4 linked regions of the Oreochromis niloticus genome follow. The protein of the gene in region 1 interacts with the protein of each later gene in a pairwise test. Links are inferred from orthologs where the notes say so. Each region holds a gene or a part of one and is shown in the gene's direction. Other genes may lie near its edges.

Evidence for each region.
Region 2: the proteins of thap1 (region 1) and zcchc10 interact in binary tests that used the Homo sapiens proteins (3 or more experiments, as listed by UniProt). The two-hybrid records come from large-scale screens. The link is inferred for Oreochromis niloticus from reciprocal best matches to the Homo sapiens genes THAP1 and ZCCHC10.
Region 3: the proteins of thap1 (region 1) and G patch domain-containing protein 2-like interact in binary tests that used the Homo sapiens proteins (3 or more experiments, as listed by UniProt). The two-hybrid records come from large-scale screens. The link is inferred for Oreochromis niloticus from reciprocal best matches to the Homo sapiens genes THAP1 and GPATCH2L.
Region 4: the proteins of thap1 (region 1) and bag5 interact in binary tests that used the Homo sapiens proteins (3 or more experiments, as listed by UniProt). The two-hybrid records come from large-scale screens. The link is inferred for Oreochromis niloticus from reciprocal best matches to the Homo sapiens genes THAP1 and BAG5.

What each region holds. Positions count from the first base shown.
Region 1 is NC_031972.2:34,363,343-34,370,846, forward strand, and holds thap1 (THAP domain-containing protein 1), read left to right. Parts: upstream 1-4,480; 5' UTR 4,481-4,654; coding exon 4,655-4,725; intron 4,726-5,469; coding exon 5,470-5,662; coding exon of another isoform or gene 5,663-5,676; intron 5,677-5,863; coding exon 5,864-6,282; intron 6,283-6,370; coding exon 6,371-6,392; 3' UTR 6,393-7,316; downstream 7,317-7,504. Other genes in the region: uncharacterized protein LOC102080580, read left to right, coding at 1-90. UniProt on the Homo sapiens protein: DNA-binding transcription regulator that regulates endothelial cell proliferation and G1/S cell-cycle progression.
Region 2 is NC_031975.2:20,408,634-20,415,603, forward strand, and holds the start of zcchc10 (zinc finger CCHC domain-containing protein 10), read left to right. Parts: upstream 1-3,952; 5' UTR 3,953-4,046; coding exon 4,047-4,087; intron 4,088-6,970. Other genes in the region: hspa4a (heat shock 70 kDa protein 4a), read right to left, coding at 1,676-1,782.
Region 3 is NC_031983.2:10,367,206-10,374,591, reverse strand, and holds the start of G patch domain-containing protein 2-like, read left to right. Parts: upstream 1-4,374; 5' UTR 4,375-4,493; intron 4,494-6,785; 5' UTR 6,786-6,789; coding exon 6,790-7,386.
Region 4 is NC_031983.2:6,396,781-6,404,233, forward strand, and holds the start of bag5 (BAG family molecular chaperone regulator 5), read left to right. Parts: upstream 1-4,441; 5' UTR 4,442-4,456; coding exon 4,457-4,563; intron 4,564-5,124; coding exon of another isoform or gene 5,125-5,259; exon of another isoform or gene 5,260-5,463; intron 5,464-5,913; exon of another isoform or gene 5,914-6,664; coding exon of another isoform or gene 6,665-6,687; intron 6,688-6,914; exon of another isoform or gene 6,915-7,132; coding exon of another isoform or gene 7,133-7,164; intron 7,165-7,453. Other genes in the region: coa8 (cytochrome c oxidase assembly factor 8), read right to left, coding at 736-856, 1,290-1,380, 2,390-2,453, 3,889-4,086, 5,125-5,259. UniProt on the Homo sapiens protein: Co-chaperone for HSP/HSP70 proteins. It functions as a nucleotide-exchange factor promoting the release of ADP from HSP70, thereby activating HSP70-mediated protein refolding.

The sequences.
Region 1 (7,504 bases):
GAAGAGGACAGAAAGAAAGAAGCAGCAGAGGGAGACAAAGGAGGAAAAGAGAAGGAGGAGGAAGAAGAGAAGAAGGAGGAGGAGAAGTAAGCCTGAGAGACATAATCGCATTTCAAAATGACGTACAGCTGTTTATCTGTACAGGACTAATGGTTATATGTGTTGTTGCTGTGACAACGAACACTTGTAACAAGCAACAAAAAGAAGAAAAGAGGAGGTGGACAGCGTCTCTGACCCCAATGTGAGGTACTTTTTTGCTTCAGATTGAAAATATAAACATTTGCTGATCTGCTGAGCGCTCAGTTTTATTTACATGCTGCAGATGTTTCAATGTTAATCCGCCAACAGCTGGAGGCTCCAAGCACTGCTGCCCTGTATGACATCACAAGCAAAACCATATAATGGTTAAGATGGATTCAACCAGGTGGCCTGCACTATCAGAGTGACTTACGATCAGAGCAACATCTTTATTATAATTTATTAGCTTTTTTTGGTTCGTTGTTGTAACACTAACAGGTTTTGTCTGGGAGTGGTAGCCACAGCCTTCCTGCAGCTGTCCATCTGAAACTCACAGCCCACCAGTGAAAGGAGCAAGTGTTGAATTGTCTGTGGAAAAGTTTATTTTGTTTGTATTCGGGCCATTGAAAGAAAAAAAATGAAAGGCCCTAGTTGTGTGATGTAAAATTCAGGAAAAAAAAGTTTTAAACTTAAAGTTGTAAATTTTGAACTTCATGAAAAAATATGACAAATTTACAATAAAAACATCATTAACACATAATACGTGTTTTTAGAAAACAGCACTTATTTTCAATCAGATAACAAATTATGAGCTTATTTTCATTAGAACGAGTCCTGCAGTAAAACACAGGCCACTACATGCAGCTGGCTGTGAGGTGTGTGCAACGCGTGATTTAAAAAAAACAACAAAAAAAACAACGTACATATTCAATATTAACTTTGCTCGCATGAAATTAGCTTTCTTATAAGATGTGATTTTTTTTTTTTTTTTTTTTTTTTCTCTCTTAACTAAAAAAAAATCAGCTTTTTTCTGGCCCACGTTTGGCCCTCTGGTTGCTCAGTTCTGGCATTTGGCAATCACCACATATGGCCCAGAGGTCATCAACACAGCTGGCAGCTGGCACATGTATGGTGGACCTGGGCAGCCACTGAGTCACAGGCAGATGTGGGCCACACATCTGGGTTATATTTTGCATATTTGAACCGGCAGATGTTTTGCTACTTTAGCCTTAAAAAATACAAAAATGTGCTCATTTCCTGTTGTTTTAGTCACAGCTCTGCCTGCAAGTCCAACAAAAAGCCAGTAAGCAGTTCTTGAGTTCAGCTTGATGAAATTTGTGGCAGCAGATCAGCTGGTGAAGCTAAAACCAGAGCGAAAGCTTTCCTGGATGTGGAGCACAGAAGCTGCTTTCCTTCCTGCAAAAGGGAAGAGCCGCTTAGTGGGCGGGGCTTCCACATCACATCACTGAGTGTAATCGTTGCATTCTGACTGCGTGTGATCTTTCAGAAGCCGACTGCATCTCCCAGAAGACACTGCTGTGAGTCTTTAGTGAATTCTTGATGGCAGTGTTGTGAATATGCTAAAAACTCTGATTTCACGACCCCGGAGGATTCTGGGTATTGGAGTATTTAGAGACATTCAGTAACCGACAGCACTCTGACTTTCTGTTGCACTTTCCTTCTTTTTCTTTCACTCTTTTTTGCTGAGGTTGAGTTTCATTGTTTGACGATCTTTTCTAAGTGTGAAGGCCTCGCAGACCGATTGATTTTTTTTTTCTTGTACAGCAGCTTTTTAATCTGTTGCTTTATTTTTGAAAAAATATTTACATATTTTGATAGTTTTGTCCGTCTGTTCTCTCCAGCCGTCTCTATGTTTCTGTTATTACACCGTCAGCTAAATACCTTTGAATGTTGAATGACACAAGATTTTCGAAAGATTTTCCTGCAAGTTCACTTTGCTGACATAATAATACGTTGTTGCTATCCTTATACTTACTTCCTGGTACACTTGCAGTATAGTGGTTGTCCATAATAAATCACAGAGAAAACCAAATTATTTGTCAGTAACTGCATTAAAAATGCCTGTATCAGTTGTGCAGGTCATGGTAGTCTTGAGTGCTTAAAAATAAAGTAGTTGACAGTACTTGTCTTAGACAGGTGCCACCTTTTGGCCTCAGTGACGGTAATGACACACGCCATTTCTCATAATTTGAACTGGAAAAGCCTCCTGGATGAAAAATGAAAAGTCTAAAGAAACCTAAAGAAGTCCCCGTTGCCCTTTTTTTAACCACTCAAGTCTGCATTAAAAAAGCTCCAATTAGCCAAGGTGATGGTTGCGCAGTTGTTATGAAGGTTGAAAAAACTTGACAGAGTGAAACGGTTTTCTTGTATCAGGCTGCAAAACATGTTTATTTCTGCTGTAAAATTGGACATTTAACATGAGAGTCTGGGGGAGACTGACTTGCTTTTGGATCCTCAAGTGGACATTAGAGGAACTGCAGTTTTGGTATTTAAGCACTGGCTTCCTGGAGTTACCAGGGGTCATCACTTGGTGTGTCATCATGAATGTTTAAGTTGGCACTCTGTTTTTGTTAGATTACCAGTGTTTAAAAGGCCCAAATATATGAGCTCATTGTGGTTTAAGAAGTCAATGAGGTTGTTCTTATGCTACTTTCTGGTACATCTGGAATTCTTTGATAAATCTCACATACATCCTCTGATGCAGAAATCAATTGGGCTTATCATCATGTTTGTGTGCAAAACTGCCAATTATCAGTTTGGCAGAACTTACTGCATTTAAATCAGAAGTATTATGCGATATTCAGTGGCAGCTGTTTAAAACCAAACAAATGACCAAGACTGGTTGTGATGACATGTTGCCCGTACCTCGCGGTGGTCACTTGTTGGTGTTTATTTACTATTTTAAGACTGCTACACTCAACTTTATGGTAGCTTTTTGCCATACAATTCAACACTAAGTAATTAGTAAAATGTGCTTAGTCATAGTCATCAAACAGGCTTTTGGCGTCACCTTATGATGGTAGGGGTGCATTAAAAAAGTTGTGTAAAATACTTTTTTCCCCTTTCTTTTCTTACAATTTCTCTTAGAGCTGACAGTTGAAAAGTCGTGACCTTTAATTTTTAGTTTCCTTGTTTAAAGAAGGCTTGTTTGGGCTTTTTGACAGATAGCACATGGTCCTTGTCCAGGATTTTAACCCGTCATCCAACAGCTACTGGATCACTCCGGTGACCTGTTGATATGATTGTGCATTGTTTAAAGAAACGTGATGACTGTGGCAGTGAATTTCATACAACTGACAGGAAGTATGGACAGAACTATCAAAATAAGAGTCTAACTGTGTAAAATAAAGTAAAATTTGTGTGATTTTTGCCCATGTTTGATCTGAGATTGTGGACATTTCTCCATCAGTAAATTTTGTTTGCAAAAATCAAATGATCCCACCTGGTTCCTTTTTTTTGGTGGGGGTTTCCTGTACATAGAAATGTGGGTGAATTATCCCAAAACTATTTTGTATTTTTCTATTTATTTCTTCCTTTGTAAAGTCTTCTAATAGGCCACAGGCATGTGCTAAAACAAAAATGGACAAATGATGAGAAATTTCTCTTTCCATCCTTCTTCTTAAATCCTCGCTTCTCCTGTTTGTAAAGGTGCATTCACGTGCAGTCGTAATAATAGGAAAAAACACATCATGTTTCTGAACCTCAGCAGCCTCTGTCAAAGTTGGTGAGAAACTCTGAATGTTTTTAAGTTGAGTTTCCAGCTGCTAAAGTTGAACCCACAGACTGTTTGAGAGCCTTGTGACTCTTTTTTTCTTTCAAGATAAGGACACAGTATGATATACAGTGTAGTGATAATACACACACATTATAGGTACTTATCAGTGCTGTGTATTTACCTGTTTTCTGTGTATTCCTGGTCTTTTGTTGCTGTATAAAGCTCTTTAGACCAACCCACGGTGTTGAAAACACCTGTTTTAATAATAAAGTTTCTTCTTTTTTGACTAAGAGATTATGTGTTGAAAGTCTTTATTTATCTAACACATTATGCATGAATCTACAGGGCTGAGCTATGAAATAAAACATTACGTCTTATGGTAATTTCTGGAATAATAAATGAAAGAGGACAAATGCATTATCCTGTATTTGTGAAATTCTTTTGTTACAGCAGTTAAAATAATAATGAAAAATTATAATACAAAATTGATATTTAATTTGGTAAAATGTATTTAAATTGTGCTTTTCTAATGTTTTATAGTCCTTCACATTTACTCTATACTCAACAGAAAATAATTGAGATTAGCACTTTGTGTCAGCTTTTATTTCAAAATGTGTTAGTTAAATAAAATAGACTTGATTTGATTGAAATTTTACATTTGGTATTTAAATTAAGGCTCGTAAAAAAAAAAATAACAGACTGGACTTCCTGAGATATTACAAGAAAGTAACGACAGAAAGCTCCACCAATTAGAGGCGGGGATGCCGGTCAGGTGACTAATTCTTCGCCGCCATCATTGTTAGTGGCAGTGAAGCTTGTGTGGAGGGTGACAAGAAGCACAAGCGGAGCTTCGTGGAGTTCTGGTCCGGCTGTGAGTGAGTGTTGTCCGGATATTCAGCCATGGTTCAGACGTGCTCAGCGTACGGCTGTAAGAACCGCTACCACAAAGACAAAGACATTTCATTCCACAAGTAAGTTAAGTGCCAGTGTGTCTGTGTGTGTGTCAGCGAGCTGGGTAGCATTAGCAGTCCTGACATGGTGGTTGAGCAACGTCCACCAGCCTGCGTTCACTAATCTGCCTCATTAAAGATTAACTGCTCTTCCTCAACAGTACGAAACATGTGGAGTAGGACACGGGACATTTTACGTGTTTCCAGGTTTCACTGCTAAAATCCGGCTACATAAAAGTAAACAGATGCTATTTTTATTTGATTAAATCAAATGTTTTGATCAAGTCTAAAGTCACAAGTTTCTCTATAGTGGCTATACCGAGGCACACAAATTTAGATATTACTAAAACTTTACAGCTGTTTCGCTTTTTAACAAGCCGAATCTATCAGCACGGAACACATTTACTTATAAAGTCTTGGAGTTACATTCTTAAATATGTTTGCCTTTCCGTAAATAAGGGGACAGTAAATTCCTCCAAATTTAACTGGAGTTTGGATTAATGTGTTTATGCTTACTGGCGGGAGTTGATGCGCATTTCTTTAGTCCCCAACTTTAGTCTCAAAACAAGTAACACAAAGGGTTAACGCTCCAGGTTTTTTTGTTTTGTTTGTTTTAGTTTTATTTTTTACCAAAGACATAAAGTTTACTTCATAAGCAACTTAAACTAATTAATTACATTAAAACTGATAACAGAAAATAATTCCCAAATCATACAGAACCGTTATGACATTTACTTCTGTGTATTATTATCACTTGTTTACCAGGTTTCCTCTGGCGCGTCCAGATATCTGCTGTAAATGGGTGGCTGCGATGAGGAGAAACAACTTCAAGCCAACAAAGTACAGCAACATCTGCTCCCAGCACTTCACCGAAGACTCCTTCAAGAGGGAGTGCAACAACCGTGTGCTGAAGGAGAGCGCTGTGCCGTCGCTGTTCACCTTCAACCTCAGCATCAAGGTGACCTGACTAAGGCAGGGCTTTTTTTTTCCAGGAGTCTCCCAAGAGTTTCCAGTCACGTTTTCTTTATTTCAAAATAAGAGCACAGATCTGAGAGACAGCTCAAATTAAGCAGATAGGTTAACTAAGCTAGATAAGTAGATCAGGTTAACTTCAGCTTCAGTCAGTTAGCGACTAGTTAACTCGTGTTTTTCTCTCTAGCAGTCAGAGTCCCTGGAGGATCCCTTCCCCTCTGAGAACCTCTTCCCGCTTTCTCTGCCTCTGACCTCTGAACCAGCGGAGGAGGAGGAGCCTGAGAGTAACCCGCTCGACACCTGCAGCGACACGATGACAACGACCACAACGACGACGGCGGTCTCCTGCGACCACAACTACACGGTAGAGGACTCTGCGCAGCAGAAGAGGCGCATTGAGCTGCTGGAGGAGCAGGTGGAACATCTGAGGAAGAAGCTGAAGACGACGCAGCAGAAGTGTCGGCGGCAGGAGAGGCAGCTCAAGAGGCTGAAGGCCGCCCGGGAGGCATCACCCAGGATGCCCCGTCAGTCGGCGCCGGAGCCGGGCTTCAGTGAGGGATACGTGATTTTGCCGAAACACATCTACCACAGTTTGAAAGGCATCGAGTGAGGCGGAGTGGAGAAGTTTCATCTGCTGCTGAGCTGAAGGACGCAAATATTCACATATCTTTCTATTTTTCGTTTTGTTTTCTAGAGCTCGGGCTGCACTTAAATGACTTCTTAAAGCTTTCGGTTTGGTTTCAAGAGCCAACAGCTCTTCATACTTGACGCACACAGACTGATGGTTCTTGTCACTGTGAGGAAAACAAAGCACAGTTATGCCCCCTCTCCCAAAAAAATAAAAAAAGAAAACTGTTGAACTATTCCTTTAAAGAGAACTGTTCTTCCTGCTTTTTATGTTCTGTCACATATACGAGGTGTTACCACATAAGCTGAGGTGTGATCGTCATCTCTGGATTTTCTTGACTGATTTCGTTGTGCCCTGCCGGAGCAAACAACAGCTTCTGTTTTACACTGAGCTGAATTTCTCTAGGAGGATCATCCCAGTGAGGAGAGCTGGGTCTGCAGCCACAACTGAGCAGTTTTCATCTGAAGAGCCCACGGTGTCGAAGCTCAAAGGTGAGAGCCGAGGCCGTTATGAACCATGATGTTCGGAGGCATCTGAGGTAGATCGTTAGAAGAATCGATCTGAGCCTTTAGGCTTTGAGTTTTGCAAATTAAAGAGAAAAAAAGCTGGTAAACCTGAGAAGAAATAACAAATTTATAAGAGTAAGAAATGGTAAATTTATGAGAAAAAATTGACAAATTCATCAGGAAAATAAACACTTTTTTTCTACTCTTTGATTTGTATGGTGTCATAGATGATATCCTGCTATGGTCATGTTGGGCACAGAAGCCAATACCCAGCTAATCAGAAAGAAAGACTGCTCAAACTCAGAGAGGCTAAAACGCCTCGTTTCAGACAGGATGAACTGAAAACCCGGTATCAAAAAAAGAGAGATTATTTTGAACTGTGACTCATGCAAAGCTGCTCTGAGAGTTTATGAATTAAAAACACGATGCTGGAAATGTGCAGGATAGATCCCCATTAAACAGTCTGCTGTTTAATATGGAAATAAAATTTGACAGTATGAAATGAACTCACTTAAGCTTCTCTGTTTTGTTTTCAGAGTTTTGTTTTTTACTTAAAGGCTGATTAAAGTACATTTGCTGCAAAAGCTTTACATTTTTCAGTGTTTTCTTGAGATGCAAAAACACTGCTTGTTACTGTTGATTTGCAATAAACTGAAGCCATACGAGCAGCTTCTTTGGCTCTTTGTGCTTCCTT
Region 2 (6,970 bases), on another chromosome or scaffold:
ACACACAGCAAGCGTTGCTATGAACACACAAGTGGAGTGTGGTGATGTCTAAGATTTGTCAACAATACACGTCTCTGAGGAGAGTCACTCAGCGGATGCTGATCTTCAATCAAGAGCAGGACAGGAAGTTGTATGGTAAATGGACTGGTTGTTATAAAGTGCTTTTCTATTCTATTTGAGCACTCAAAGGACTTTATACAGTGATGCTTGTGATGTTTATGATGTAGTAGAGAGCAAGTTCACAAAAACAGTTCAATATTTGTCAAAAAATGTCCAATATTCATAATTTTTCAAAATTTAATGCAACATATTTATGTGGGCAACAGACAAAACATTGTGCAAGTTACCAGGAAAGTATTTGTTTTCTTTTTACTCAGTAAGTATAAGCCTTTACAGACCAAGTGTGTTACGAATATTCAACATGAGATTCTGTGTTTAAATTCTGAATGTGAATTTGTCGTGTAATATATAAACACACACCAAGAAACTGATGTATAATCTTTCTATTCACCAAATTATCTTATACATGATCTACTTCTCTGACACACGTTTGCCTTGTAAAATTGAATAAAACTAAATAATTTTTAAAAAGTCCAGGTTGATTCACAATAAAGACAGCAACTTAATGATGTATACATATTTCATATAACCATGACGTAAAACCCATTTTATATATATGAAATTTTTCTGACTTAGTAGTAGGTGCACAACTAAGCATAAACTGGGCATTAATGTTATCTTTTTCTTTCCCTGTTTAATACAAACGTTATAAATAAATTACAATATAATAACTGGTCTTATTTCATTTGATTATTACTCTTTGGGAGGAAATTCTAAATTTTAATGATACATCTATAAATATACCAGTTAATCATTCAAAACCAGTGACTGTACTTATGCAGTGTATAACATTCAGTAACTGTTGTCTGCTTTATATTAACGTTAAACTCTTACAAAAGAGGAAATACTGTAAAGACTAAAAATCAGTCAGGATGACTGAAATCTAACTGATGGAATTACAAAATGCGCCATGAACCCAAATAAGCAGAACTCAAACAATATTAAACAACCTCTCTGATAACAATATGTTTTTCATATAATAAGTAGTATATAACCTTACACCGTTTAAAAAGGCAAAAAGACATAAAAATTTGCTAGAATATTCCAACAAGAGATTGGCCGCTGTCGTCATCGTACAGAGCATAACGCAAGGCGTACAATTTGCCACACGGGGCACACCGGTTGGTCGGAGCTTACGCCTTGAAGACAAGTACCACTACTTAAAAACGACAGGTGGCAAACACCGCCCGGTCGTGTTTTAACCGGCGAAGCCACACCAATTCTCGAGACTGTCATTACCGTTAATAAAACTATGAGCTCAGCTAACTTGCTTAGCTCGCCGGAGCTTCATAATCGGTCTTTGAAGGTGGTGTGCGCCTTATGAGTTAATTTCTAGATGGTTCCATGTTCACCATAGACAGGCTGAGAAATGTGTCACTAACTTACACGGAAAAGCAGTTCAATTTCCCAGCAATGAGCACAAATGATCGCTGAAAGCAGAGAAGCTGCGTTCACGTGTATTACAGCGATGCCGGTGAGACAACACTTATAAATGAAAACCTGTCCTCTGTAGCTATCCTTCACAAACTATAATAAGATTTTACTTGGTACTTACGGTGTACATCTGTCGCTGTACTCATTGGCGATTGTCTCGATTCCTCCAGCTCGGGCTACAGCTACATAGCAGCTTTGGAAGCCCAAGTCAAATCCCACCACTGACATCTTCAGCGATATGTGTCTCCTAGGTTTAGCTTTGTATACAGTATGATTTCTGTAAAGAAAATAAACCTGTAACTAGATTTTAAAACATAAAAAAGATGCTCCAGTCAAGTGAAGTTGTTAAGCTGCTCTGTCTTAAATACTTCTACTCATAATCCACACCGCTGATTGTTGCCGGTGTCTCTGATGTGTGCTGGCAGGCTGCAGCGGCAAGGTCTGCTTTACTAACGTCTCGCCCGCAGACATCGCGAGATTTACATGGTTCTAGAGCTCTCTGGACTTTTCCATATCCACGTGAAAGACTGTTCTCCAACAGTCGAGGTGTAGGGAGAAAACTCCATAAATTTCTTCTTATTTAATAAAAAAAATAACCTCTAAGTTTAAGGTTTACCGTGACAGTAACTGAAATCAACAAATGACTAGCTTGATGATTTCTGGGATCGAATCAGGGTGGGGAAACAAAAATAGACTGTGATGCAAAAAGTGATGAAGTCATTTTTTGTCCCCTTTTGTTTTTTTGTTTTTATTTCATTAGAAATAAAAAATGTAAATGGCCCAGCTCAGAACGAAGTCGTCGGGAAAATAAGAAAATATAATAACATTAAACAAATTAATTATAAATAACTAAAGCATAGCCATTTTAAAAGTTGTTGTTACTGAAAAAGATTCGTTTTTAAATACGTTCTCCTTTAATACTTAGTAAATTTCATGATATAAAATTACCAATCATTATAAATAATTAGTATAAAATAGTAGCTGACATAACACTTTTTTTGGTTTGGTTTGCAAAAACAAAATGTCATTTATTTAAGAATCTATGAAACAGAAAAGAGAGCTGATGACATGTAAACGCAGCTCTGACAAATCGTAAATGTGGGTGGGTGTGATGACACTTGACTGCTGAAAGTGTGCACTGTGTTGGTGACAGATAACTGAATGCTTAACCTCAGTAACTGTTTCCACAGAAAGTGGAAATAAGAAGCTGGGGAGAACTATGATAAACAGAATGTTTATATCCCATTATATGCTGATTGTAAACGTAACATTATTATGTGAGGCACATTTTTTCCTTTAATGTAGTATAAATGAATCACATGTATCACAGTACTGCACTAAAGTCTCATTTATTTATATTTTGTTTGAAACATAGGAAATCGATGCACCAAGATATTGAAAGATGTTCAAACCAAATGAAAATACAAGAAAAAACTGAGTTTGTGAGTTTGTACACATATTTGGATAATGCTTTTGCTGTATTGGCAGTGCGTTTGGTATCACTGTCATGCTTTCCAGACTATATTGCGTGGAGGATCAAACTCTGACTGTGCTTTTCTGCAGTCATAATTTATCAGTTTTAACAAGATCTCCAACACCATGAGATTTACATGATGGTGGAGATTCATGTCTGCGTTTTGTTTTACAGATTCTGCAGACACTCACAGTTGTACCTCTCTCCTGACCTCTTCTGCACAAACTGATGACGATTCAACTCATAAATTTCAAATTACTCTGATTTTCAGACCACTTTTTTTTTTCTAATTTAGCATACCTCAGGCTGTTTCCCATTCTTAAGAATGGCTTCTTGACACTCACTGAGACCATTTCGTCAAACAGTAGATGGATTACGAGAAGGGCCAGTGTCAGGTCTTTACTGGATTTTGTCCTGTTTCTTAAGGATGACTTTGAGATACTTCTCATCTGCAGAAGAGAGCTTTTTTTGTAATTGTCGATTACAATTTAACAATATACAATTTGAAATTGTGTGTTTAATTGTCTGATCTGTGTGGGCACCATACTCATTTATCCCTTAGATGGCTTTTTTATGCTTGAATAGGTCAGAGTTAAGTGTATTAAACAAAAACAAAACATTCCTCAGGAAATGGTTACATACAAAGACTGGACTGAAACAGGGAAAATAACAGTGAATGTCCAAAGGAAAACTTTGACAGAATTCAGGAAGCATGCAGAACTATTGCTCAAGACCACTTACAATAATGTCCTGTTTCTTAGAAGCAAAATATCAAGAATGATGAGGAGTTGCTCAAGAGTTTTGCACAGTATTATTAAAAAAAAAAAAAAAAAAAAAAAAAAAAAAAAAAAAAAAAAAAACCACTAGCCAAAACGTCAGGGCTGCTGTTAATTAAATTTTAATGATTATAAATACATGCAGTAGACCATCCTTACCCATAGGAGGCGATAACGGAGTTGATTGGACCGGAAATACGCGCTGATTTAACGCCAACAAAGAAGAAAAAGTAACCTGCAACATGGCGACTCCCATGCATAGATTAATAGCCAGGAGGCAAGCGTGAGTATGATACTATTAATCGACTGTATCGCTGTGGGTTTTGTATATTCGTGAGTACTACAGGCTGTTGAACAGCAGTGAGGTTCAGCTGCTCGAGCTCTGTGTCAGACTCAGGGGCCGGTGAACAGTGAGCGCAGCTCCAGTGCGCCAGTCTGTGCTCTACATCATTATTAGCTTGTTTATTCTTGTAGAGGGTGCCTGTTCAAGGCTGGTTGAGGCCGTGAATGCCACTGTTGTCACACTATCTGTTTCAGGAACGACAAATGAAATGTCGGGTGTCTGTCACGTTTCTGCGCTCACTTGTTTATAAAAGTCAGGCGGATTTTTGAGTCTGCCGCATTTTAGTGTCTGTGAGGAAATATTGAAAATATTTTTGCATTGAATTGCAACACAGGAATCTCCCGCTGATGCTCGTTTTTTCTCCTTTTCCCAGCCATTTATCACTGGTCTCGAGTTTGCACCTGAACTTATTCTGATACGTGAAAATGATTTCATCTCTTCTTGAGCAAGTAGAACTGCAGGGTGGTGCTTCTTTTCATTACCGTTTTTCTTTAATGAGCATTTAAATTCATAAGAATAGGAGGTCAGCCCATCTTCATATACTCTGCATATTTACTCACTGTAGAACAAGCACCTTTAAAGCACTGCTGAAGTTAAAACTTCCAACTTCTTCAGCAACTACAAAGCTGTACTTTTGTAAAGTTCATGAACATTTACAGTTGTGGTCATGGAAATTTGGGGCTTTTAATGATTTCTTTGATCTGTTCTTTCTCTAGGGTGGGATTACTGTACAGCGTACATCTTTAATGACGTTAAAAGAAAGCAAGAACAGGTTTAAATTTATTTTGGATTTTCTCTAATCCACATGGCATCAAAAGTGTATATATACAGGCTTAAATATCGCATACACCTCCACTAATATTTGGTTAAATGTTCTTTAGCAAGTTGCACCTCAACCAGATTCATTTGGTAGCCATCAACAAGCTACTGTCAGATTTTTGGCTGGATATTTGAGGACTCTACTTTGCAGAATTGTAAGAGTATATTTAAATTGGTTGGTTTCCTAGCACTGACCTGGTTTTTAATTTTCAATAGGGTTGTGGTCAGGGCCTTGGGAAGGCCATTCCAGAAGCTTGGACCCCCCCCCCCCCCCATTTAAAAAAACAAAGTTTTAATGTTTGCTCAGGATCATTATCCATTTGGAACATCTAATTGTGTCCAACTTCCAAATGTTTAGCTGTTGATTTGAGGGGAAGTTGAAGAATTTGGAAGTAGTCCTCCACTTTCATTATTCCATCAACTTTGTGCAATGTACAGGTAGCGCTTGCACGAAAACAGCCAGAGAGCAGGATGCTACCACCACCATGCTTGTTCTTAGGTTTAACAACCTCACCTTTACTCCTCCAAACATACATCTTGTGGTTGTGGCCAAATAGCACCAATTTTTTGTCTCGTTAGACCATAAAACCTTTCTCCAGAAGCCATTTGACTTGTCCATGTGGGAAGCAGCATATTTCAGTTGAGCTTGAAAGTGTTGATTTTGGAGCAGAGGCTTGATCAGCACCCTCTCAGTCTATGGCAATGTAAAACTAGCTTCACTGTGGACCGTGATGCTGATGTTCCAGCAGTTTCCAGTTCATCATCGGGATCGAGCGTTGGTGGTTCCTCAGTTGTTCCTGGGTGACACATTTGAATAAAATTTCTCCAATACAACTTCCCAGTTTGTGTAAAACTGGAATTCTCCTTCTTACTGTGGATCTTCAGTAAGTTCCTTGGGCTTTCCCAGTTCAATCCAGTAGGGCTGCACGATTTTGCATAAAATGAGAATCACGATTTTTTTTTTGCCTAGAATTGAGATCACGATTCTCTCACGATTTTCTTTTCCAATATAAATATTTATTGCACTTATTAACTGCACATCAACTTCGTAACAGTTGAAACTGAACATAAAAACAATAAATAAAAATAAAAACAATAAATGCCTCACATTTTGTGGTTGCCGCAAAATGTTGTACTGCTTGAAATTCTGTCTCCACCGTTGCTCGACACCGCGTGTATAGAGCAGGTAGTGCAACAATAGAAAAATAGTTGTGGGACGGCACTGTGTAGCGTTTGTCTAGGGTGTTGATCATTTTCCTAAATCCCTCGTTTTGCACAGTGTTGATATATCTTTGGTCAGGTGATAAGTAATAGCCTCCGTAATTTCTTTGAGCCTGCGGGAGTTCGACGTGTATAGGGAAGCGCTGTATAAGGTTCCCGTTATTGATGTTTGGGTGGTTGACCGGCACAAATTTTCTCCTGTTACTTTCTCGTCATCCCTGACGTGTTCTCCGTTGTTTTTTCCCTGCCAATTTGAGCATCACTGCACAGCTTCTGTATCACGTGGTATAAGGCTCCGCCCATGTCATTTGTTGAGCAGGAAGGGTGAGCGCTTGTTTTCATGCAGATTACGTCCTGGATCAAAATGCGGTACAATCGTCGTCCTTTTTTTTTTTTTTTTTTTTTTTTTTTTTTTAAATCGTTGTCATTTGGAAATGAGATCGCACATAAGTATGAATCGAGATCGCGATTTTCTAACGATTAATCGTGCAGCCCTACAATCCAGTGAGTGCTGTAAGCCAAATCCTTTTTATGCTGGCAAAGAGAAACTACCACTTGCAGTCAGTCATGATCACTAATGATAAGTTAATAGGCTTTGACCTTTCATGTTAAAAGACATTGTGAAACCTTCAATGCCACTTATTAAAATATTTAAGGGAGTGTATGTATATTATTTAAGCATGTATGCATACATTTGACACTTTGTGGGGATAGAGGGGAGAAAAAAAAGGAATCCAAGAAAGTCATTAAAAGTCCAAACTTACCATGACATTAACACCCATG
Region 3 (7,386 bases), on another chromosome or scaffold:
GTAACTTAAAAGTCTGCTTTTACTTGCAGTTAAATATTTTTCAGCGATGAAAAAGATGCCACATAACAATGATCGAAACATATTAAGAGACACCCTCGTAGGATTAGTTTTTTAAAGAGAGACAGATCTGTTAGAGAACTCTTCAAATCATTCCCATCTGTCTAAAACGGCTCTGACAAAGATGATTTAAAATGTAAAGAGCTGGCGCTCAGCTCTGTAACCCCTCCCCTTCTCTAAAAGGACAGAGAAAAGAATGATACAAACAGAAGGGGGGGAAAAACTCAAATCCAACTCATTTTTTACTGTATGAAAGTTTCACAAGGTCGTTGGGAGAGTCATGTTAACACAATACCTGAATACAGATTTGTTTCCTTGTTCTACAAGTCACGGAGACCCGAGTCTTTAAGCGATCATTATTACCATACAAATAGACAGATCTATTTAACAACCCCCTTTTTATCGCATAACACTTATTCTTTAGTGTTGCTCCCTGAAAGGCACTGAAATGTGTCTCTCCCCCCACTTACTCTTCCCCTCTTTCTTTTTTTCTTTCTTTTTTTTTTTTCCCCGGGAAATCGTCTCCGGGTTGATAAAGGCTCAGAGCAATAGAAGAAGCAAGGCTGACATCTTCTTAAGAGTTGATAGGAGAGCCAAATCAAATAGGATGGAGCAGTCACTCTTTTCACAGATAGGTAGCTCATTTCTGGTGGCTGAGAGTTTGCATCCCTAGTGGCGCTCTGCCTGGGAAAGATAGCTCGCTCGGACTCCATTCATTATTTCATTCCCTGTCTCCTCTTTTCACATCTTAGCTACTTCTTTTTTCTTCTTTTTTTTTTTTGCTTTAATGAGTTGCCTATTTTTCTCAAGTGTTGATGGCGATCTTGGAATTTAGATTTGGAGACAAAGTGTTTAATCACAAGCGTTTTTCATTTGCCAAGAAGAGGCAAAAAAAAAAAAAATCAATTATTTCTATTAGACAATGCTGATTGAAAATGAATGGAAGTGGTAACATTTTGAAACAAAGGCTCCACGGAGACAAAGATAAGTGTCAGTCTGCTACCCCTGAGGTGTGATGTGTGGTTTGGCTTAATAAGCAGTTTGCAAAACATTTGCTATTAAATCTTTGCAGAGGGTTGATACAAACACAGAGCAGTTTATTAATAATAACAGCTCATAATTCTGTACTTTTAGTGTCACATTGTTCCTCGCAGAGTCAAAGTTGGGGTCCAGATGTAGCAAACTTCTGTTTTTTTTTGTTTTCATGAACGCGTGCGTTGACGCATTAAAGATGTAACTTCATCAGAGGAAATTGCAGGAACTTTCCCCGTCCCCTTATTTATTCCAACACTTACTGAATGAAGCCTCCAAACTCCATATGATATTCACTTTGGCACTTTGTGAAGAGCACTTTGCTATCGCATCCCTCACATTCTCTGCAAATCCCTTAGAAAATTATTTATAAAAATTAACTTCTCTTGCAGAGAGCTCATTCAAAAGAAGAATTACACAACAGATAAAACACTTTATCGCCAGTGAAAGACTAGACAATGTACGTCGAGAAATTGGGAAGAAGGCAGAAACAATGAATATTAAGTGCCTAAGAATCCAAAGCTGCTGACTAAATTGAAACAGTATATCCTGAGGGGGCAAGGTTTCCAAATTGCTAATTACTGCCTCTGAAAGGGGGCTGTTTCTGATATGTTTGCTTGTGAAAGGCTGCCACTTAATGAAGCAGTGGCTAAAGTTTTTTTTTCCTTTCTTTCTTTTTTAATATTCCCACACTCCAGCTTTCAGGGCTCTCTCCGGACTTTCCTCCCAGGCCAGAACAATGGCGGGCCCAGGAGCCCAGCTTCCCCACAGGCCCAATGAGAGGAGGCCGGGGGCTGGGTACTGAGGGAGCCGCTCAGCATGCTGAAATATGGAGGCGACAGATAAGGTGGCAGCGGCACAGAGAGGCCCTCTCCCATGGGCCCAAGGGGAAATTTGCAGTTATTAAGAGGAAGATGAGAGCGATTAAATGGCTTTTGTACTCATTTTCACTGACTTTTCTTTTTTATTATTTGGGCTGCATTCATCTGATAGATGAAAGAAATGGTAAATTACTTTTTTTCTGCTTCATTCAGCAACAACACTAGCATTGAGAAAACATCATTACAGTGAGCTTCAATCATAAAACACTTATTAGTCCACTATTGTTTTAAAAAGTGTGGCAGCAACAGAATTACTGTAATCTGACATCTGGAACTACAGTAATTACAAATTTAACATGGTTTGGGATTTTGGTTTGAAGAAATTGGACAAAATGTAACATTGATACATGCACAGCATATGCATGTTTCTATGTATGCAATCATTTTATGGATGAACACAGCTGGGAGCGGCTATAGAAGCTTGTGCAATTCCACAACAGCCATGCAGCAAATAGAAAGCTCTTTGATTTTTCTTTTATTCAAGCTGTGTGACAGATCATTTCCCACTGAACAGCTATATGACATACTGCCCTGCAATACACTGTGAGGTCTAACAGTGCAATCCAACACAACAGTGTCTTAAAAAGAGAATGAGTAAATTGCATACTCACAACACAGTGCAAACCTGTTACTAATAATACCTGAAGCCTTCACATAGTGTTAGATATGCTTGAGAAAAGAGCAGAACAGTGGTGCAGTGTCACCTAACAGCAAGGAGATTCCTGGTTTGAACCTCTTCGTCAGCTGGGGCCTTTCTGCCTTGAGCGCCCCCACTTACCCACTCACCAGTGCAAACCTAAGCTGGGCAAGCAGTTAAGAAAATGGATGGATGCTTTAAAAAGTCTCCTTCAGGCATTTTTTAGGAGGATTTTTCACCTTTCGAGATGAAAAAATAGGAAGAAAAATGGTTTTCTCCCGGTTTACTATTGGATCCAATATTTCTCCTCATTCAAAGTCAGCTCTCACCGTTGGTGTATTTGCATTGCTGACTTCAGATTTAGGTAACACACTAATGAAGTTGACTTTGGTTAATGCTAATATTATACAGTGCTGTGCAAAAGTCATGAGCCATCCCTTGTGTCTTTATTTTGGGAAATGGGTGAAGAGATTCATTGAAAAATGTGTAAGCATAAATGGAAATACAGTATATAAGGCAAAAACACAGTTTGAACAATTCTATTAAACTTGAAAGTCACTATGTGGTATGACCACCTTTATTATTCAGTATAGTCTGAACTCTCTTAGGCAGCTTTCTTGTAATTTCTTTAGGTAGTCTTCAGGAATAGTTCTCCAGGCTTCTTGAAGGACATTCAAAGCTCTTCTTTGGATGTTGGCTGTCTTTTGTTCTGTCCTTGATCCCACACTGCTTCAATAATGTTAAGGTCCAGTCTCTGTGGAGGCCAATCCATGACTGATGGTGTTGTAATTCTGTGTTTTTCTATCCACGTATGCTTTTACTGCATTGGAAGTGTGTTTGGAATCACTGTCATACTGCAAAATGAAGCTGTTCCCAATCAGGGCCAGATGCATCTCTCAGGTCCTGTGTCATGTCTCTCCTGGATTTGTCTCTGTTTCTTAACAATGTACCTATTAAATACTATCAGACTATCAGATGTGGTACAATGACTGGATTGGTAACAAGTTAAAAATCAGCCAATGTCCAAAGAAAAACTTTGACAGAACTTCTGAAAGCTTGAAGAACAAATGTTTAAGACCACTTCAAAAATGACAAGAAAGTCTGGCTACTTGCAAGGAAACTACATAGAAATAAGGGTATCTTAAGACTTTTGCACTATATATCCAACTCACGGGTGCACAATTTTAAGTTTCATTTTAGATCAGCATAGAAAAACAGTGCATTAGCAGTGTTTAGCAGAGAAAACAATCCATAGTTTCTAAAACCTCTGAATTCTACACAGTGGAAGCAAAGGTATCCAGCTAAAGTTACCAAATCCCATCAAAACAGGAGTGGAGTATGTTTGTGTGAGACAGCCTGCTAACACTGAGAGGTGGTCTGATGTTAACATAGAGCTATTTCTTTAAATATATACAAAACATACAAGATGCAGTTTTACATTTAGTCTATGAAAAACACACATGATCTAAACTGAATGGGACTTTCTCAGGTACTTCACTAACTAAATAAGCATAAGCTCATTCTAATTGTCCCTTGTGACCGTCAGCATGCAGTCCCCCTACAGTCCTCCTTTCCTACCACCACAACTTTTTGTAAACCCTGATGGAAGAAAACTTGCACATTTTCAAAGTCAGATTTGACTGACATTATCTTCCACACCAGCACTCCGTCGGTTTCCTGAAGTGATGCCATAATGATCAGACGCTGGTGTTATCTGCCTTGCAGGCTGTATTTCGACAGCACTGTGCAGTGGCGCACTGTTTTTTTGTTTTTTTTGTTTGGAGGAGTCACAGCGAGGCGGAGCCACCCGATTGGCTGGACTGCAGGGCGGAAGTGCGTCTGGTGTCCCAGCTGTGCTGAAAACAAAACAAGACAAGCTGCGACTGGTGAGTGCTCGAAACGCAGAGGGATGTCTTCTCCCTGGCGTTAAATAGCATCCGAATAGATCCGCGCGCACCGTGTCCGTGAGGCGGCTGTTGTGTTGAGCGCGTGTAAACCGCTTGTTTTGTTGTCAGCAGTGGACACAGAGATGTGTGGCTGTCCTTGTGCTGAGCTCACGTGTGAGCTGTTGTTATGTAACACAGGCTGAGCTGAGCGTGCGGATACTACAGCCAGCCTGAGCTGTTGTTGTGCTGCACTGATGTTGCACAGCTACACGGTCGCTTTTCTTTACTGCTAATAAAACGTGATGTCAATCGTTTTTCTTTTCTTTTAAGCCGATGATGACCTGCAAATGCTCGTAAATGCAGCGCTTTCTACACCGCTGCAATCAAACACGGAGCAATTCCGGTGATGAGCCCACCACGAATTTATGTTGCTAGACTTAAAGGGGGGGGAAATCAACCTAGTGATGTTTTATAGCGCTAAAGCTATTGTAGATTTACTTTGTGATTGTTGCGAGGAGGTGGTGTTTTTCTTTGTTTGTTTGTTTTTTGTCCCATGTCTTTAAAAATGGGATTATGACTGCCACTTGGCTACTTGGGTCTACTGAAATGGACCTCAGTCATCATGGCTGAGATGGTTGGGAAGGTATAGTTCATAATGCTGCTGATACACAAACAGGTAACAAATTACAAGAAACACGTGTAACTGCATTATTAAGTCCCTCCGGAGCAGTTTCACTTTGCAACTCATTCTCCAAATGAAGCCACAAACCATCCTTTCAATAGATACTTCCATATTAGGCAATTAATGATGCTCTTGCGACTGTGCGGGGTTTAGCACATTATTTATGTCTTCCTCAAACCATAAGAGAACCCGCCCATAAAGAAAGAAAGCAACTTTGTATTGATTTGCAGAGGGACAGGTGGACCCCAGCTGTCCTAGCAGAATGCCCGCTGCAGCACTAATGATTGCATAATTATAAGAGTAGAAATATATGAAATTAAAAGGGAACAATGGCATGTCGTTTAGTGGCAAGTCCAGCAAAGTAACAACCTGCAAATACACTATTTCCATTAGACTTTCTCAATGAATGGTTTGACTTGTTGTTTTCTTTACACCTTGAATATTCACACTCACTGGCCACTTTATTAGGAACATCTTGGTAGTACTGGACTGGACACCCTTTTGTTTTCAAAACTGCCTTCATTTTTCATGGCACAGGTTCACCAAGGTGTTGGAAATATTCCTCAAAAACTTTGGTGCATTTTGACATGACAGAATCAGGCAGATGCTGTAGATTTTGTGTTGTGAATCTCCTGTTCCAGCACATCTTAAAGGCGCTCTAGCGGATTAAGATCCGGGTGCAGTGAAGTCATTGTCATGTTCAAGAAACCTGTTTGAGATGATTTGAGCTTTGGGACGTGGCGCATATCCTGCTGGAAGTCGCCATTAGAGGGTGGGTAGACTGGTGGGTCAGAAAGGGATGGATGTGTTCAGCAACAATACCCAGGTGTGCTGTGGTGTTTAAACAATACTGAGCTGCTGAGGTGTGCCAAGAAAATCCTCTGCACCTGTACACCACCAGCAGCGGTCTAAATGTTTGATTTGATTTCAAATGTTGCAGGAAAAATGGGGAATCATGAGACCAGATAACATTTTTCAAATTTTCTACTTTTCAGTTTTGGTGATCTTGTATGAACTGTAGTCTTGGTATCCTGTTCTTAGCTAACAGCAGTGTCATCCAGTGTGGTTTCTGCAGATTCATTCAGGGATGCTCTTCTACATATCTTGGTTGTAATGAGTAGTTATTTAAAGTTTCTGTTGCTTTTTTATCAGCTCAAAGTCAGTCTACCCATTCTCCTCTGGCATCATAACCCATTCTGGCACCCATAACCCATTGTGAGAAAATCCCAGTACATCAGCACTTTCTGAAATACTGGGACCAGTCCCATTTGATGCTCAGTTTAAACTTCAGCAGGAATACATCTACATGCCTAAATGCACTGAACTGTTGCTGTGTGATTGGCTGATTAGATATTTGCATTAACAAGAGGTTTAACATGTGTGCCTAATAAACTGGCCAGCGAGTGAAGATGGTGATAATCATTTAGAAAAGCCCACATTGTGGGTATATTTTCAAAAAATGAGAGTGACTTCAGGAGGAGCACATCAAAGTACATTGGACGTTTCTATTGTTTCATATAAACCTCTAGCCTGCACTTAACAACTGCAATTTAACATGACAAGACATCCAAAGAGTTTAACTGGTCACTAACATTTTCTTTTTTTCCCAGCACCATGATGGATGAGCTGGTGCAGGACCTGGTGTCTGCACTGGAGCAGACCTCAGAACAGAATAAGCTTGGAGAGCTGTGGGAGGAAATGGTCCTGAGTCCTCTGGAGCAACGCCGTCAGATCCGCCGTCGCAGAGGCCGTAAGCGTTTTCGCGAGTCCACCCTCTACCCGATAGAGCACAGGCGATGCTGGATCGAGGCATCCGAGTCCAGCTTGGACGAGGCTAAAGAATACAGGGAGAACATCACTACTTCTGTGGCCAACTGCAGTGACTCTGACGATATGACCGCATCCACCCGATGGCCGTCCCTCATGAGAGGCTCAGTCAGGGCGAGGCAGTCCTCCTGGCCAGAGTCCGACTCCTTCAATGAGAATAACCCCGGACGTCCACTCAGGAGGCGGAGGAAAGTTAAACGCATGACCTCAAATGTAACCGTCAGACTGCAGTCCACTTTAAAAGGTTCTGGTTTGGATAGGAAACAGAGGAATAGGCCTTCTAAGGTGCGGCATCTGTCAGGATCAAAGAAGCGGTCTGGTGGTTGGATGGGAGCAGACAGAAAGACTGAAAGAGCCAGACTGATGGGAAAGGAGTGCTGGGAG
Region 4 (7,453 bases), on another chromosome or scaffold:
ACTCAAAGTGCTTTAGAGACAGACAAATTTACATTCCAGCTCTCAAAAAATATTTACACCAAATGATTAATCTGGAAAATAACTATCCATCCATCTTCTGTTTAGGGGTTGCAGGAGGCTGGAGCCTTTCCCAGCTATCATAGGGCGAAAGGCGGGGTACATCCTGGATGGGTAGCTTGTCTGTCCCAGGTCTTATACAGAGACAGATAACCATTTACACTCACATTCACGCCTATGGGCCTTTTAGAATCCCCAGTTAAACATGATTTCAGTTTGTTCTTTGCTTGATTTAAAAAATGAAATAATTAGTTTTAATATGTTTTTGACAAAGTTCTTAAACTTTAATTTCTTGTATTTATTGTAGGTGGTCAGCACCGATCTCACTGGTTATCACAGGTTGTCTTTGTTTTGACACAAACTGGGCGTAACAGTTAAATCTGCTTTATAATGTATCTATAATCCCCGCCCCAAGAAAAAACCAAAAACCCTCTTGACCAAAGAGACCGTGACATAACAATCCACACTTTTAACTATTAAAAAAAGATGAAAACTATTAATTAATTAATTAAAAAGAAATACCTCACATGTTTTGCTTTGTTTTATTTTTTCCAGAATAATTTACAGTCATTTGCAGAGCCTGAATAAACATGAAGCAGTAACAGAAGTGCACAAAAATATAGCCAAGGCATTTGATATTTTGACAGGAGGGTGGGGGTGTGTGTATTTTCTTTGCTATCAGCTGGTAGGAGTGCCGTTTTTCTTGCTGCTCTGTCTTTCCGTAACTGTCCTCCACATACTGTTTAGGGTGACTCGAGCCATGAGCAAGGTGATGGTAAAGTTACGTCTGTACCATTCCCTGGATACACAAAAAACAGAATGTTTCACTTTGCACAGTGTAATAAATGTGCTGATATAAAGATTCAAACAGGGAAATGCACAATAACACCAGAAGGGAGAAAAGGGAAACATTTGTGCTTTGACGGAGTTTAAATTGAAACAATAATAAATATAACAATCAAAAGTTAGAGATTAAATCCCACGCATGCTACTGAGGTGATGTGTGTGGGCGGAAAGCTTTGCCAACATGAAGACAAGTCAGCCACTTTGCATTGCTAATTCACACAAAACTTCTTCATAGCCTGTGAGGTTTGTTGTTCTTTGCAGATGAGGTGATACAGTGCAGTTAAAGCTCACAGCTGCTGCAGAGGGACATGTACCAACCCAACCACCCACCCACCCACCCACTCACTTACCCACCCAGCGGCATCATGGGAGACAAAACAACTCACTTGTTGTAATTTGCATGTCGTACTCTGTTTTTGTCCAGGAAGTTTTTGTAAAACGTGGCCATCTCTTCGCTGCTCAGGGACCGCCGTCGTCCTGAGGGAAGACACAGCAGACTGTGTTATATTCTCATTAGGATACATCTCCCCTGCAATTCACCAGCTGTTAGAAAAACAAACTGCTGTTTACTGTGCCTCCTGAGGAGCAGGCTACGAAGCAAGTTCGACAAAGCCAGGGTTTCTTTGTGTTGGCTGACTTGACCAAAAAACCTCAGTCAGAGATAGCAGGCATCACAACAGTGGTTATTAACTCTCTCTGGTAACCCCGGCTTTCTGTGCTCACATAAAAAGGGCTGTTTGATGTGTTTTTTGACACTTCAGACAGCACAGAATGGATCAGCTGAGCACCACCTACCCCAATCAGAGACATTATCACATGAATGGGGGATAGAGATCTATTAAGAATGTTAAATAAATGCAGTAAAATGCAACCCTGGTGCTGAAAGTACGAGTAATGCTGCAGAAAATTGTTAATTTAGTGATTTGATCATCACAAGAGCTGAGAGCTTAGCTTCAATGTTTATCTCTGATGTCAGAGCCACACATCGGTGCTCTCGCTGTGTTCAGCTCTGACAAGTCACCCACAGCCTACACAGCCTAACAAAGGAGACGTGGGAATTACTTTCGTTTCTCACAAGATCAGAGTGAAAATCATTTATTGTCCAAATAAGTTTTCTTGGTGATAAAAATCAAATAAATCTAATGATAAACTGCAGTCTTAAGCTCTACAGACTGCAAATATATGTATTCATCCAGCAGAGAATCAATATTGTGTTTACAAGACACTGTAACTAAAAGAATTTGTGAAAACTTTAAATCGAAACTCTAAAAATAAACTGGTACAAACCAGGTTATGTGTTCAGCATAAGTTACCATGGTGATCTAGCCAGGTATAAAGGAGCCACCTTCACTTACATCAAGGTCGACTTACATCACTCACCCAGTAATCTTGCTTCATAGTACACCCATCTGAGCTGGTTAAAAACTGCCTAAGTGCAAACCCAACCAACAATGTGAAATATTCAGAAAAGGCTGCATGTCCTCACCGTCCTCATCACGCAGAGTCAAGCCTTTTGCCTTCAGTTGTGAAATGATAAAAGCTTCTTTTTCCTGCAGACAGTGTAAAAAAAACAAACAACAAACAAACCTTTTAAGCTTTAACTGTAATTTTAAATGAGGTCATTCTTAAAATTAATTAAAGGGTCGTTAAATCAGATTTGGACTGGGGTCCACATAAAACCTACAGTTTTCCTCACTGTTTCCTCACTGTAATCTCTTACATAGCTGGGCCCTAACAGAACACATTAGTTGTACAATGCTCCCCTCTACTGGTGAAATGATTTTACACACGTACGAGCTCAGCACGCAGAGATTAATTACATCCACTGCTATTACAGTCTCCATTAATAATGATGGAAATGACAGCATGATGCTAATGCAAGTAGGAAGCTGGCAGGGAAGATAATGCAGTTAGTGGACTTTATCTTGTGTTTAATTTAATTTCCATTTTATTTTTAAGAAAAGTGAACTAACAAGCCGACAGGGATCGCTCACCCGGTTTTGTTTTGTAACAGCTACAGATGAATTTTCTTCTAATATCAGTTTGCTTAATTGGATTTTAAGCGGCAGTACGGCATACCTGCATATGAAATAAATAGCAGCAGTAGCAGGACAATGTGAATCATCATAAATAAATATTAAACTGTAATAAATTGGAAGACATCATCTTGATATTCTCAGGACAACATCACAAACAAATTCTTCTGGATGCACACTTTCACTTCATCCCTCATGTGCAATTTAGGAATTTAATTTAGGAGTAACCTTCAGTTTCTCTACAAAGACTAAAGACTCCACTTCCTCTGTAGCTAAAGGTTTTCTTGGAGCACATCAACTTCCCACTCTTATTCATACTCTGAAATCACCTGCCCCACAATGAACCAACAACCGCTTCTATGCCTGCTTTACACCACCCACCACCTTTCAGCTTATTTTCAGAAGGGCAGAACAGCCAGCAAAGTCTTAACTGATGATCTAACTAGCCTTAAATGAGTTTTATTCTCTTCCAAACTGCATGTCAGGTGCTCAGATGACTTAAAAGAACCAATTTTACCACAACTTTCTATTTTTCTATGAAAATATCGACATCTCAGGAGGGATGTCGACTCACTCCTCTTTACAGAAACTGCAGCTTGGCAACTCAAGGGTAAAGCTTGAGTGTTTTGTTTTTGGGATTTGGGGATATTCTGTCTCCATAAAATGAAGCTACCATAAAACGTGAGAAAACGTATAAATAAAGCAGGGGATCGAATTAATTTCCCCACTGTATCTTTGTCAGTTTCCATCTCAAGAGTTAAAAGCAGCACTATGCATGCTTCTCTCTCTCTCTACACTGTGCTCCCTATTTTTAGACAATACCCACCTTACTCTCCACATGGACTGGCTTTTCACCCCACCTACAAATGAGACTTCTGATAGATAAACTAGCTTTCAGAGGCCAGTCCCTGACCCCAGAAAAACACTTTGTAAAAAGTATTTCAGTAACCTTGCTGAAGGTGATGTTCTGCTTGGCCCAGAAGTTGTGGTTCCAGTCCTCTGTCTCCTGCCTCAGGTTTCTCAGTCGTTTCTCCAGCTCTGTTTCATTGTCCGGGATGTGGTAAATAATTGGCCGTAGGTTGGAGAGCGGGTTTGGTGGACCGACCCAGTCATGTGTGGAGCTGGGTTCTGGTCTATATGTAGATCTCTATGTAAAAGAAGAAGAAGAAACTACTGTAATGATGGGTTCAGACAGCACAGTGTCCGCACAAAAATAACTTAGTGGGAAAGATACAGGGTGTTAACACAAAAGTTGAGCGTGGAATTGCAGGTGACAACAGTCAGAAGGCTGAAGATGTCCCAAATTTCACCTATGCAAACCCCATATGACAGCGATGAGCTCATCAGACACAAATACCATGTAGTTTGAATTCCACATGCAAAGTTAGCATCACCAACGCAGCCACATCCGCACTGATGAGAAATGCACCGGGCAGCTATCATCTGGAAGTCAAGTTTAAAGACAGTCTGCTAAAGACTGAAACTCCACACAGCAGATGCACATCACGTGGCTTTAAATGAAAAGTGACCTACACCAGACAGCTTATCATTACCCAGCAGACTTCAAGACGGAAAGAGCAGCGAGGAATAAAAAACGCTCCAGGGCTAAGAGACGAAAACAGAGGTAAAACAATCCAAATGCAAAACATTGTGTCAGCAAATTCAGTCTGATTACTGACAGGCATATCAATGCACGTTTATATGTAAAGTAGATGTATTTACATTTTTAAAGAAATACTATATTATTAAACAGTTATTATTAAACGTCTGCAGTCACAAACTCCAACAAATGCATGTAATTTTGAAACGGTTAAAAAATGAAATCTAAGAAGATGTATTGCTGGAAACTTTAGGTCTTAAAATATAACTTTAAACCATAATATTTTAAATTGTTCTCCATTATTTTCCTACAAATATTTATACTACAACTGTATCATTAAAACAGACGTAACACCGATTTAACCCTAATAATGTCTAAAGCACTGCAATATATTTTTGTGAACAACACTTTATTTCCTGCAACGTTTAAAAAAAAAAATCAGCTTATTTCGTACACACGTCTTTAATGTGGGCATAAAAAAATGGCGCCACACGTGATCGTCAACAACAACAACAGCCGTCTATAGCTATCAAATGGCAGCCCTTTAAACCGTGTATAAATGTAATAAATTGTCATTATACAAACCTTTACTGGCTTGTCCTTCTGGGTTGCCTGTTTGGAGCTGCACAGCCGACTGCTACCTGCAGATAAGCGGAGACTGAAAGGACAGAAGCTCCTCCATATCGACCGTCTCGCAGCTGCAGCTGTCCTGGCGGCCATTTTTAGTAACCGACTAAAAACGGCGACTTAAATAAAACAAATCACGCTAAAAACCATTAAACAGCACAGGACTGAGCTCGAGGACACAACCAAACTTTCACTAAGCTCGTGCCCTTCTGTGTGCGCTGGCTGCCATTTGGTCACGTGAGCCCAACAAGGCGCATGGATGCGCTCGGCAATCTCACCGGTAAATCCCGGATTCACTTAAAAACGACAACAGAAAACATTTCGCAATGAAGGGTCGAAAGGTTTCTTGTCAGTTAAGGATATTCTTTAAATGTAAGACTACAGAAAGAGCATAAACACAAATGTGGGGAATAAATATATGTCTATGTTGTCTATTTGTTTATTTATTTAAGCTTAAGTCACATTTGTTTCCTCATTAAAAAATAAACGAAATGAAAAAAACTGGCTGTAGGATTAAAAGAAAAAAAACAAACAGATGTCAACCAAATTAGATGTTAGGAATATATAAATCCAGTCACCATGGAGCCAAAATCCCCACTCTATTTATTTTTCCTTAGCTGCAGCCCTTCCTATGTATTTTTATTGTTATTATTATTGTTATTGTTATTATTATTATTTTGTTGTTTACTACTTCTAATGCTATATTTCTAATACTGTATTTATAGACTATATTTCTTCTAATAATTATATTTCAGTGGTAAATGTTGCATTTTTACAGCAGAGTCAGGTGTAGAGGGGAGCTGAGCTGAGGATAACAGGCTGAGGAGGAGGAGGAGGTTTGCCTGGGTCCTGCTTGGAGCAGACGAAGTTGAGCAGGGCTAAACGTAGCTTGATAAATATCATTATTGTCTAATTAAACTTGAACACCACATGGATTATCTGTATAGGTTTCGGTATTAGTACTTTTGCTCTCACAAAGTATCTGAATGCCTATTCCGTTCGGTTATTGAATTGTTGGAGATGCTAGATTGTTAGATTTTTTTTTACTACATAATAAATAATGCTCGTCAATCTTTTTTGTTAACTAAGTTAAATAGACTAAAGTAAAAGTTAAACAGTAGCAAAGCCAGGGTTTATCTTAGCACCGGTAAACGACACGGAGTCACGACCAAATGAAGCGCGCCTATTGTTGGCCGACCAAAATTTGCACAAGGTTAAAAATAATAAAGCTGTTCATCCGAATATTAACACGATTATGCGATTTATTTTACATTTGTATATACGTGTCGTGCGATAACTAAACATCGACTTGTATTTCTTATTTGTTAACATCAATAAAACACTGATGTAATGGCGTCTCTTTAATATTAGCAAGGAAACACAAACTCCGTGTTAGTTCATATCCTCACGAACTGTAAAGTAAGTACTCGAAGGTAGCTAGGTAGGCTAATGTTTAGCTTTAGTCACAGGAGGTGCGCACTTTTCCGCAACAGTTCCGATGGCTGTACGCTGGCTATGCAGGTAAGAGCGAAACTGTTAAAGAGAGGTGGCGGTGTTGATGTATTCACACTGAAAAGCCAGAGTTATTTGGCTGAGGTGTGGCTGTGTCAGGTGATCATCAGTAGCTAGCTTAACACACTAACAATGGTATTCACAGAGGAGTGTCTGCTGTAAACCGGTTTTTGTAATGGCTGTTTCCATTTAAGCGTTTCATGAGTCCTTGGTAGCATATTTATTTTTAAATTAAGTTGTTTTAAAGGGCAGCGGAGGAAGAAATCTGGTGGTAGAGGCTGTGGGAGGGGCGACAGCAGCCCGACCGCAGTCAGTCAGTCACAGTCAGTCGCTGGATACTGAAGCTGACCGCAGGAGAATCGAGATCTTCCGGATTTCGGCTTTATCCCTTTGGATGCCTCTTTCCTGCACGAGCCGCCCAGCATTTGGCTGATGGAAACAGACATCCGTGAAAATGTGCGCGAATGTGTTCGGGGTTTTGAAAAGGTGAGAGGAATGCTGCTGCTGTGTGTGTGTATGTATCTATCTGTGTGTGTATGTGTGCGTGTGTGCACGAGAGAGAAAGGATGCAGCTGACAGTATCTGGAGATGCTTTGAGCCGTTTTGTCGAGATCTGGAGGTGTGGTATCTGTGCTTCTTGTAGCGCAGCTCCGGCAACATACATGGGCTCTCAGAGGTAGATGCGTTCGCACGCAGGCGGCGGGACGGGATTTTCTGCGGTGACATAATGCGCAAAGCCGTGCAGGAGGACCGGCAAGCATGCAGGCAGCCGGGG